3 linked regions of the Canis lupus familiaris genome follow. The protein of the gene in region 1 purifies or fractionates together with the protein of each later gene. This does not show direct contact. Links are inferred from orthologs where the notes say so. Each region holds a gene or a part of one and is shown in the gene's direction. Other genes may lie near its edges.

What was found.
Region 2: the proteins of DTL (region 1) and COPS5 purify together in Homo sapiens (affinity purification with mass spectrometry; 6 studies listed by BioGRID and IntAct, with this or other methods). This does not show direct contact. The link is inferred for Canis lupus familiaris from reciprocal best matches to the Homo sapiens genes DTL and COPS5.
Region 3: the proteins of DTL (region 1) and CUL4A purify together in Homo sapiens (affinity purification with western blotting; 15 studies listed by BioGRID and IntAct, with this or other methods). This does not show direct contact. The link is inferred for Canis lupus familiaris from reciprocal best matches to the Homo sapiens genes DTL and CUL4A.

Annotation. Positions count from the first base shown.
Region 1 is NC_049228.1:10,193,253-10,196,903, forward strand, and holds part of DTL (denticleless protein homolog), read left to right. Parts: intron 1-1,268; coding exon 1,269-1,342; intron 1,343-2,935; coding exon 2,936-3,039; intron 3,040-3,329; coding exon 3,330-3,434; intron 3,435-3,651. UniProt on the Homo sapiens protein: Substrate-specific adapter of a DCX (DDB1-CUL4-X-box) E3 ubiquitin-protein ligase complex required for cell cycle control, DNA damage response and translesion DNA synthesis.
Region 2 is NC_049250.1:17,041,792-17,045,442, reverse strand, and holds part of COPS5 (COP9 signalosome complex subunit 5), read left to right. Parts: intron 1-1,443; coding exon 1,444-1,572; intron 1,573-2,272; coding exon 2,273-2,338; intron 2,339-2,918; coding exon 2,919-3,004; intron 3,005-3,651. UniProt on the Homo sapiens protein: Probable protease subunit of the COP9 signalosome complex (CSN), a complex involved in various cellular and developmental processes.
Region 3 is NC_049243.1:60,780,745-60,784,495, forward strand, and holds the start of CUL4A (cullin-4A), read left to right. Parts: upstream 1-1,122; 5' UTR 1,123-1,139; coding exon 1,140-1,293; intron 1,294-1,783; coding exon 1,784-1,899; intron 1,900-2,555; exon of another isoform or gene 2,556-3,751. Other genes in the region: PCID2 (PCI domain-containing protein 2), read right to left, coding at 569-604. UniProt on the Homo sapiens protein: Core component of multiple cullin-RING-based E3 ubiquitin-protein ligase complexes which mediate the ubiquitination of target proteins. As a scaffold protein may contribute to catalysis through positioning of the substrate and the ubiquitin-conjugating enzyme.

The DNA of each region.
Region 1 (3,651 bases):
TCTAATATTCCTAGTTTGTAGGACCCAAATTAATATGTTGGAGAAATGTGTTTACTAAAACATTAGGACTTAAAATTGCATACCAAGAATAGGACACAGGCATGAGTAGAAATTGACAGGGTTAAAAAAAAAAAAAAAAAGAAAAATTGACAGGGTTAATGTGGTTTTTATAAACCAGATGGAATTAAAATGAGTATCATTTCAGACAATCTAATTCTGAGCCAAGAAAACTTGTTAACAGCAATTAGGGGTGAAATTCCATTGAACTCCTTTAAATTTTTCAGAGCATGTAATCACCTTTTTTTTTTTTTCTTGGTAGTTTTATGGTTTTATTAACACAAACATGACACGCACATAAGCTGTCTATTCATTTTCTTTGCTACACAGCCTGGCATTGGGATTGGTGTCTCTGATGGCCAGCTGGGCTGCTCTTTGCACAATGGCTTTGCAGTTCTTGGAGGATACATTGTGAGCAATCTCTGCACAATAAGATTTGTTGCACATCAGCAGCACTTCTAGCTGCTCCTTGACATTGTGGATTAGGAACTTCCTGAAGCCACTGGGCAGCATGTGCTTTGTTTTCTTATTGCTCCCATAACCAATGTTGGGCATCAAGATCTGGCCCTTGAATCTTCTGCGTACCCCATTGTCAATGCCTCTGGGTTTCCACCAGTTGCGCTTAATTTTGACATATCGACATATTGGGTCTGACTGGTGCTGGATGAACTTCTTGGTCCTCTTTTTAACGATCTTGGGCTTCACTAGAGGTCTGAGGGCAGCCATGATGCCCAGCAATTGATGGCTGCCACCTCCGCAGGCGGTGCCGAGGAAGAGAGCTGTAATCAGCTTTCATACATAATTCTTTAGATCCTCCTATATGACAGTTTAAGTAGATGGTGACATTTTATAGATAAAATAGGCACAAGAAAGTTCAATGAGTTTCCTGCAGATACATAGCTTATTAGTAGAACCGATTTTTAAGTAGAACCTGTAGATTTAGACAAATCTTTTATTTACCTGTTTTTTCCTTGAGTACAAGTCAAAAGTCAACACTACTCTAGTTAATGGTGTTTAGGTCATTTTCATGCTAAAATTATTTCTTGGTCAGTATAAATATCTGATTCAGGATTATTGGAGAGGGAAGATTTAGTCTAACTCAGAATTTGAGTTGGGGAAGCCATCATTTTAGCATATTGGTGTCTTGATTGTGAAGATTATGATACCTAAAATAGGACTTTCTTCTGTCTTTTTCTGCCTTGTCCTGTTAGGATTTCCAGCAGAGTGTTACTGTGGTCCTCTTTCAAGATGAGAATACATTAATCTCAGCAGGAGCTGTGGATGGGTAAGAGCCTTTATTTCTTGGTTCTTTTGATGAGATCTCTTTCATAAACTGTGATAGGGAAGTCACCTAGTCCCATTTTAATCGAATGTGTATGCTATTTTAACTTTCAACATAGTGAATACCCAGCTGAGATGAGGAACTACAGATCACACTGAAAAATATCTAGTTAGGACTCTTGCTCAAATAATTAAATGAGGTGATCCGTGTGTCACACTTCACACATTATATAGCACATAGGAGCAGTGTTGGCTGCTGCTGCTGCTGTAGAGAAGCTAGATGGATAGCTGTCTTGTCCATGCAGTATACTTTAGGCAGTGAGTTTCATTTTAAGGAATAAAATTTCTATTTTTTTGGATTTTTTATCTTCTCAGGTTTAGTAATACCCCTAAAAGAAGGAATCTGATTCTCTATCATGGGCATATTGGAGTATAATCTAACTATAATGATAAATCCTAATGACTTTTACATACCTGCTATCTGTGATTGGTCTGAATGTTTGGCTTCCAAATAAGTTTGTGATACTTCTTGATTGTTTGTTTTGTTACCATAAAAATTCTTTGAGTGTTTTTAAGCCCCCTTCTTCGCCCTCTTACTTGTTTGTCATATCTCTCAAGACATCCCTCCCTTTGAAACTAATTTTAAAAGATGATGGCTTAATGAACTAGGATTTCCATTGTGTCTTCTGGACACCAAAACTCCTCTGTGGACCAAATTTTCAGACACAAATGGAGGATTATCTGCTGGTTATTAATTATGCTTATGAATGGCTATGAAAGCTTGTTCTGTTTTCAAGGATACTGTACTTTTATACCAAGCTTGTGTTTTCATGTAGCCTATAAATTAGATGGTGAGGGGTCCCTGGGTGGCTCATTCAGTTAGGTGACTGACTCTTGGCTTTGGCTCAGGTCATGACCTCAGGGTTGTGAGATGGAACCCTGAGTTAGGGCTCCCTGCTCAGCAGGGAATCCGCTGGGAATTCTCTCTTTCCCTCTATACCCCTGATCCTGCTCTTACTCACTTGCTCTTTCTCTAAAAAATAAATCTTTAAATTAAAAAAAAAAAAAAAAAACACTACAAGTTGAGGATTAAGACAATTATACCAATAGATGAACTAAAAAAAATACTTTATTTCTTTATTTCACAGGAAAAGTTGTTTAGACTGGATTACTTAAGGAGTTCTATGTAGAGATAAAACCATAGGAACAGCTTGTTACTTACGATGTTAGAGGTTACATGCAGAGTGTTAAAGGTTTAGGAAGTATTTGTTTTGCTTTGTTTTTTTTTTTTTCTGAAACAATGAAACAATGATCATCAAAACCCAACCTTCATCTTCCTTTTCCGCTCCCTTGAAGTAAACTCAAGGTAACCCATCGCTGGGTCAGACCACATCTGTTTCCGTTCTGCCTGAGTTGTTAGCCTGACGTTGGAAACAACAGTATGAGATAGTTTAATCTGTTTCCCAATGAGATATCCTCATTTTACCTGGTTGATGTGCCAGAAGAGTTAGATTAAAAGTCATCTCATATTCAATGTAGTTGAAACTAGTTGGATTTGGGGGGGTTACAAAATAATTTTCTTTACCTTGGTTTTTAGGGTAATCAAGATATGGGATTTACGTAAGAATTATACTGCTTATCGACAGGAACCCATAGCATCCAAGTCTTTCCTGTACCCAGGTAGCAGTACTCGAAAACTAGGTAAGCCTTTTTTTATACCCTGTAGGACTTTTTTGGAGATGTGAGTTTTTGTTACAATTTTAAAAATAAATACCAAGGTAGTTTTCAGCAACATAGACTTGAGATTAACATATGGCTGTATCTTTTTGAAATTCAAAAGATGAAAACTCAGAAGGATATTTTTGGTTTGTATATATTTGGGGGAAGAAGAATTCTGATGATCTTGTGGAACGATCTTTTTACCTGAACATTGTTACCTCAGTTCTACTTGCTGTCATCAGGACATGCTAACTAGAGTTTTCTTTTTCTAGGATATTCAAGTCTGATTTTGGATTCCACTGGCTCTACTTTATTTGCTAACTGCACAGATGACAATATCTACATGTTCAATATGACTGGATTAAAGACTTCTCCAGGTAAGATCTTAGCCATTTAAAATTAAAATCTCTACCTGGAAAAATAAAAATAAAAAATAAATCTCTTACCCAGAAACTAATACAGAGGTTTTTGTTAATGATAACTTAATGTTGATCTTTTTTCTAAACCAGATTTATTAAAACATAGGAGGACTTTGGGGTCTTTGATTAGTTTCAATGATGTTTTCATAGATGTATTTTCTTTGTGATAATTTCA
Region 2 (3,651 bases), on another chromosome or scaffold:
AGTTTCTAAACTTAAACTATCCTCGTTACATAAGGTTTATATTTTATTTTCAACAGTGTCTATGTAAAATGTGTAAGAGGTTAGCATGGATATTTTTAAATAAATTCCCATACTCAAGAGAATAGATCTTAAAAGTTTTCATCATAAGAGAAAAAAAGTTGTACCAAATGTGTGGTGATGGATGTTAACTACGTTTTTTATAATGATCATTTTGCAGTACATACATATAGTGATTCATGATGTACACCTGAACTAATACAATGTTATACATCAATTATATCTCAATAAAAAAAAATTTTTTTTAATTCTCACACTCAGTATCAGATATATGTTTAAAACCAAAATTTGGAAACAACCTAAATGTTCCTGAGTATAAAACTGATTAAGTAGGGATGCCTGGGTGGCTCAGTGGTTGAGCATCTGCCTTCAGCTCAGGGTGTGATCCTGGAGTCCTGGGATCAAGTCCCACATTAAGCTCCTTCTATGGAGCCTGCTTCTCCTCCCTCTGCCTATGTCTCTCTCTCTGTGTGTCTTCGTGAATAAATAAATAAATAAAATCTTAAAAAAAAAAAAGATAGTACACTTGGGACGTCTGGGTAGCTCAGCAGTTGAGCGTCTGCCTTTGGCTCAGGACGTGATCCCGGTCCCAGGATCAGGTCCCACATCAGGCTCCCTACAAGGAGCCTGCTTCTCTGTCTGTGTCTGTCTCTCTTTGTGTGTCTCTCATGAATAAATAAAATCTTAAAAAAAAAAACTGATTAAATAGATTATGGTATATCCATACAATGAAATGCAAACCAGCCTTTAAGAAAAATAAAAATTGCAATGCCTTGGTTGCTCAGCAGTTGGGTGCATCTGCCTTCAGCTCGGGGCGTGATCCCGGAGTGCCAGGATCGAGTCCCACAACGAGCTTCCTGCATGGAGCCTGCTTCTCCCTCTGCCTGTGTCTCTGTCTCTAATGAACAAATAAATAAAATCTTCGGAAAAAAGAAAAAAAAATTAAAAAATTATCTGTATATTTTATTTACATGGAACAAACCCCACAATATTGTGTCGAGTTGAAAAAACAAAGAGCACTGTACGTGGTATGTCATTATGTGTGTTTCTATTAACTTACATATATGCAAAAATACATCTGCAAGATAGGTATGTAAGCAGCCGGCTATAGAGGTAACATGTGGGCTGAAAAACTGGCTATTGAGGGAAAAGGTGGGAAGGATACTGAATAACCTTACTGTACTAGTATCTTGTTGAAGTTTCAGGTATTATAGTTTGGGTATTATCTATTCAAAATAATCTTTTTTTTTTAACTTGAAAGCCACATTTGCTATCAACTGTTCTGCATGCTATTATTTTACCATAGTGCTATGTAAACAAATAAATGACAAGTGTCTCTAAAATTAAACAGAAACCTCAATCTTTTTTGTCCTCTTAATTTGTTAGGTTGGCCGCCTTGAAAATGCAATTGGCTGGTATCATAGCCATCCTGGCTATGGCTGCTGGCTTTCTGGAATTGATGTTAGTACTCAGATGCTCAATCAGCAGTTCCAGGAACCATTTGTAGCAGTAGTAGTAAGTATTTTTGCAACCAGTCTTATTAAGTTCTTCTTGAAGAATTATTTAAGTAAGTACACTGAGAAATAAAAACTGTAGTAAAGCACAACAGTCTGGTGTCATTATACCTAGGATTGTATCTGAATTCCACCTCTTAGAAGCTGGGACTTATGTCTGAACAAGTTAACTAACCTCTCTGCAACTCTTCCCCCACTCTGTAAGATGAAGGTGATCACAGCACCTAGGTCTCAGTTCTCTGCACATAGTAGGCATTCAGTAATATTGACTGAATTGAGTAACTCAGGAATTGATAGAGCAGCTCTTGCTATGCTTAGAGTGGTTTAGATGCAATCCAGATTACTATGAGAAAGGTAGAAATTGTTCATCTAATAAAAAAACTTTCGAAAAAGAGATGAGCAAAACTTCAAATAACATTCTTCAATAGTATAATAACTAGATATAATTTCTATTAACTATGAGAATTCTGTACTCAACCACTTTATTCAACTTCTTTGGTATTTGGTTTGGTTATTTTCTTTCCTACTCTATTCCTTTTTCATTATTTTAATCAATGTTGGTGTGTGTGTGTGTCTGTGTGTGTGTCGTATGCATGCATAGTGTTATATATATCATATGTATTTCTAAGTTTAATGTTTAAACAAATGGAAGTATATAAAAATTTTATAACCAGCAGATGATAAATATATGTTTCTTTTAGATTGACCCAACAAGAACAATATCTGCAGGGAAAGTGAATCTTGGAGCCTTTAGGACATACCCAAAGGTAATTTTTAAAATTCGAAGTCCTTTTAATTTTTTAAATGACTCCTTTTTAAGTCATGTTATGCTTAATATCCTTTTTGTCCTAAAACAATTTGATAATATTTACAAAATAGTCAACCAACACAAATTGTCTTAAGCGAAAGATAACACATTTGTGCTATATATTGCTAAGAAAGCAGTTTTTATTTGTTAATAAGTCTCTTTGTGCCCATGACATTCTGACAGGTACTTCACAAACAAGCTAATACATCTATTTCCTTCCCTGTAATCTGAAATAAATATTAACCTATGTGTACATCCTCTAAGGACAAGAAAAATGAATCTGTAAACCAAATCCAACCATCAACCACCAAATGGGGTTGAGGGAAAGTAAAAGCAATATATAAATATATAATATATATACATATATTTTATATATATATATACTTTGTACTGGAATGTTTAAGTTCAATACATGGCTCCTCAAAATTAATGTTTCTATAAATGGAAAGCTGCATAGAAAGTTTTTTTTTTTTCTGTGTGTGTGTGTGTATATGTGGCTTTTTTTTTTTTAATCTTCTATTTTCTTCATTTTTGTTGAGGGCTACAAACCCCCTGATGAAGGACCTTCTGAGTACCAGACTATCCCACTAAATAAAATAGAAGACTTTGGTGTACATTGCAAACAGTAAGTCATTTTTAAATGTATCTGATGCCACAATCATCGTAAGAAATCTTAGTCCAAGCCCCTAATTTTACAGATGAGAATAAAAGTTCAGATGAATGCATTTCATAATCCTTTTAAAATTGTAGGAAGAATATAAAACTTGATAGGATAATGTTTGAATTTTTATTAATAATTGTTTTAAGGTAACATGTTATTTACCTTTCACACAACCATAAACATATCAATGTACAAGATACTTGGCTCATTAATGAAATTAACAACTGAAAGAAGTTTTATTCAGGGCCAGCCTGATACTACCTTATCCGTAAGCCCACAGAGTGTCCCAAGTTCCATTCATTCATTTCTTTCTTTCTGAGAGAGATTGAGAAAATGCAGGAGCAGGAGGAAGGAGCAGAGGGAAAGGTAGAAGCAGACTCCCTGACTATCTGAGGACCCCGAGATCAAGGCTTCAGCTGAAGGCAGCCACTTAACCTACTGAGCCACCCAGGCACCCCTCAAGTTCCATTTAGCAAAACTTCATCGTAAACATTTTCACTCCAAAATTTAAAGAAGCCATACTGAAACCAATGGATTATATACTTTTTTTAAAAAAAAAAAAAAAAAAAAAAAAAGAATTATATACTTTTTTTAAAATAGTGAGGGCTAAG
Region 3 (3,751 bases), on another chromosome or scaffold:
CGCTGGCTGGCTGCGGCGAGGCTGCCGGCCGGAGTGCTGCGTGGAAAGGCTCGGCGTCTGGGGCCAGAAGCTCGGGTCGGAACGGCTGCCCCTGGACGGCCGCGGCACCGCCTCCAAGGAAAAGTGCGAACTAGGGGCCGCCGTGCACCACGGTAAGAGCTCGCCGGCGCGGGAACGAGGGGCGCGGCCGAAGCTGGGGCAGACCCGGCAGGGCGGGCGGAGACCGGACTCGAGGCGTGGGGTCGCGGGTCTGAGCCCGGCAGGCTCGCCCTTGCGCCTCCCCAAGCCCTCGAGGGCTTTAAGACGCACATAAGACGCCAACGAGGGCCTGTAGTCCAACGGGTTCTCAAAGGCCCACCCCGCGGGCACCGTCAGAGGAGAGGCCCGAGGCCCGCGGCGGGGCGGGGGCGGCGGCGGCGGCGGCTGCGGCGGCGGCGACAGGAGCCCCTAAGCCCTCACGGTGCCCCCGAGGACCGCCCCCCCGGCCACACCCCCGAGCGGACGCCGGTGGAGCTTCTCGCATCGACTCCCGCCGGCCCACACCCGCGCCCCGGCCCCGCGTACCCACCTGCTGCAGGTACTGGTTGATGGTGATGTGCGCCATGGCCGGACCCCCCGCGGAAAGTGGGCGTGGGCGGGGCCTGCGCGCGCGGCTGCGTCCGCCTCACTTCCGGCCGCCGGTCCGTCCGGACCTGCGCGCCCCCCAGGCCCGCCTCCCCCGCACGCGGGTTCCGGAGGAAGAGAGTCCGCGGCAGCGTGCGCCCCGGGCCGGGATGGCGGCGCGCCCGGGCTGAGGAAGGCCGCGGCCTGCGCTTCGATCCGCCACCGCCTCCCGGCGAGGACGCCCGGTCCGCGCCCTCTGGGTGCCTGGGCTCCCGCCCGGGGCAAGCTGGGCCCCGCCGCCCCCCTCGACCGTTATACGTTCCACAAGGAGCGCGGCGGCCGCCGGGCGGCCCGGGGCGGGGGCGGGGGCGGGCCGGGGCGGGGGCCGGGGCCGGGGCCGGGGTCGGGGTCGGGGTCGCGCCGGGCCGGCGGGGCGGCGGTTGGGCGGCCGGGGCGGCGCTGACGCGAGGCCCGCCCGCCCGCGCGGCCGGGGAGGCGGGACGGGGCGGGGCGCCCGCTGCTTCCCGGCCGCCGCCATGGCCGACGAGACCCCCAGGAAGGGCGCCCTGTCGGCGCTGGTCGGGCACACCAACGGCCTCACCAAGCCCGCGTCCCTGGCCGCGGCCGCCGTGGCCTCCAAGCCGGGCGGCGCCGGCGGCTCCAAGAAGCTCGTCATCAAGAATTTCCGAGGTGGGTGCGGGGCGGCGGGGCGGCGGGGCGGGGCGGGGTGGGCGCCCCCGGCCGCCGGAAGTGCCCGTCCCGGGGAGAGGGGGTCCCGGGGGGGCGCAGGGGTGGGGGGAGGGGGCGCCTCCGGCCGCCGGAAGTGCCGCTCCCGGTGGGGGGGGGAGGGACGGGGGGGGCTCCCGGCCGCCGGAAGTGCCGGTCCTACGGAGAGGGAATCCCGGGGGGGGGGGGCGCCCCCGGCCGCCGGAAGTGCGGGTCCCGGGGCCTGGGGCCTGGCGCCTGGCGGGCGGCGGCGAAGGGGTGTCCGGTCCCCGGAAGCGCCCCGGCTGTGTCCCGGCTCCGGCGTCCACGCAGCGGGGGCCCGCAGCGGCCGGTCCGCGCCCGGGGCCCCCAGGACTGGGTCATTCCGGGAAGGGAAGCGGGGGGGCTGCGGGCCCGTGAGCGTGATCGTGGGCGCGACGGGGGCGCCGACCCTCACCCCGCCCCCGCCCCGCAGACAGACCGCGGCTGCCGGACAACTACACTCAGGACACCTGGCAGAAGCTCCACGAGGCGGTGCGAGCCATCCAGAGCAGCACGTCCATCAGGTACAACCTGGAGGAGCTGTACCAGGTGAGGGCCGAGGCGGACCCCGCGCGGGCGCTCTTCCCCCCCGTCGCTGCCGCACGGCCACGCGGCCCTCCTCCTCTTTATTTTCCGATCGTTGCGGTTAAGACGCGGAAACGGATTTTGTTACGTCCGAAGATGTTCCGTTTCCAACGTAATTGTGGAAAAGGAGCATTACTTTACGTATTCCGTTGATCAGCAGACCGGTTTTCCTGATAACTGGTTTTCAGAGAATAGCATTCGTTGATTAGTGCGTTACCTACCACCTACATTTTGCATGACCGTGTGATAGATACCTCCGTTTCTATGAAGACATTGGAATTAAAACTTTCTGTTTGCATAACTGTTTGTTGTAAGAACTATGGACATCACAAAAAAGGACAAAAATAAATTAAAACCACCTGTACTCCCGCCACTCAAGGAAGACCGCTATTGGCATTTTGGTGGACATCCATCCCTTCTTTGTAATAACTTTGTATGAGTTTATATTTTTTGATCGACTTTTTGAGGCATAATTTGCATAGAACCTGTACTTTAGTGACTTATATTGAGGTGTAAATGCTGTTATCATGGTAACATACAGAATTTTTTTTAAAACATTTTTAAAAATTTTTATTTATTTAGGATAGTCACACAGAGAGAGAGAGAGAGGCAGAGACACAGGCAGAGGGAGAAGCAGGCTCCATGCACCGGGAGCCCGATGTGGGATTCGATCCCGGGTCTCCAGGATCGCGCCCTGGGCCAAAGGCAGGCGCCAAACCGCTGCGCCACCCAGGGATCCCTAGAATATTTACATCACTTCAAAGAGTTCGTTCTCCTGACCTGGTCCTGGCGGATCACTGACTTCCTTGCTGTTGGTCTGTTGGACCAGTTTAAGTCTCATCGGTGGAACCTGTGTGGGGCAGTTGTCTGCACCCAGTTCCAGTAGTTTGTTTCTTTGTTGCTGGGGAGTACAGCTACAGCCTTTCACCAGGATAACTGACAGTTTGCAGTTGGTAGGAATAAAGCTGTTCTGAACCTGAAGGAATAAGTCTCATGTGGACATGGGTAAATATCTAGAAGTAGTCTCAGAGTCATAAGGCAAGTGTACATTTGACTTTAGGACATTTTCTGTTTTCAAAATGGCTATACCATCTTGTATCTGGGCAGCAGTACGTGAGAGCTCCGTTTTTCTATGTTCTTGCTAACACTTGGTATTATCCGATTTTTTAAGGAATTTTATTCACTTGAGTACACATGTACTGTTCTTTTGTATTTCCGTATGAATTTTATGATGTTTGCCAATTTCTAAAAAATAAAGCCTACTAGCATTTTGATTAGGATTGTGTCAAATTCTAGATTAATGTGGGGAACGTTGATGTCTTGATGGTACCAGGCGTGCCAACTGATGACACGGCACAGCTTTGTTTGCTTTTCCTTGATTTCTCAGTAAGGATTTCTGGTTCTGGTGTGTAGGTCTTGTACATCTTCTATGAAATACTCTTAAGCGTTTCGTACGTTTGGTGGTATTACAAGCAGTAGTATGGTATAAGTTTTAATTTCTGGTTCTTGCTAGTATATAGAAATAGAAATTGTTTTTTGTGTATCACTCTAGTACCCTGCTCTCTTGCTGACCTCGCTTCTAGTAGCTTTTTGTAGATTCCATGGGATTTTCTACCTAAGCAATCACATCACCTATGAATAGAGGTGGTTTCACTTCTTTCTAGTCTGCATGCCTTTTATTTCCTGTCTTGTGTCCCTGCACTGCTCAGAACCTCCAGAACAGTGGTGAGTAGAAGTGGTAAACCCACACTCTCTTGTTTAGCTCCTGCTCCTAGTGGGAAAAGCCTTCGGTCCTTCATCATTGAATATGATGTTG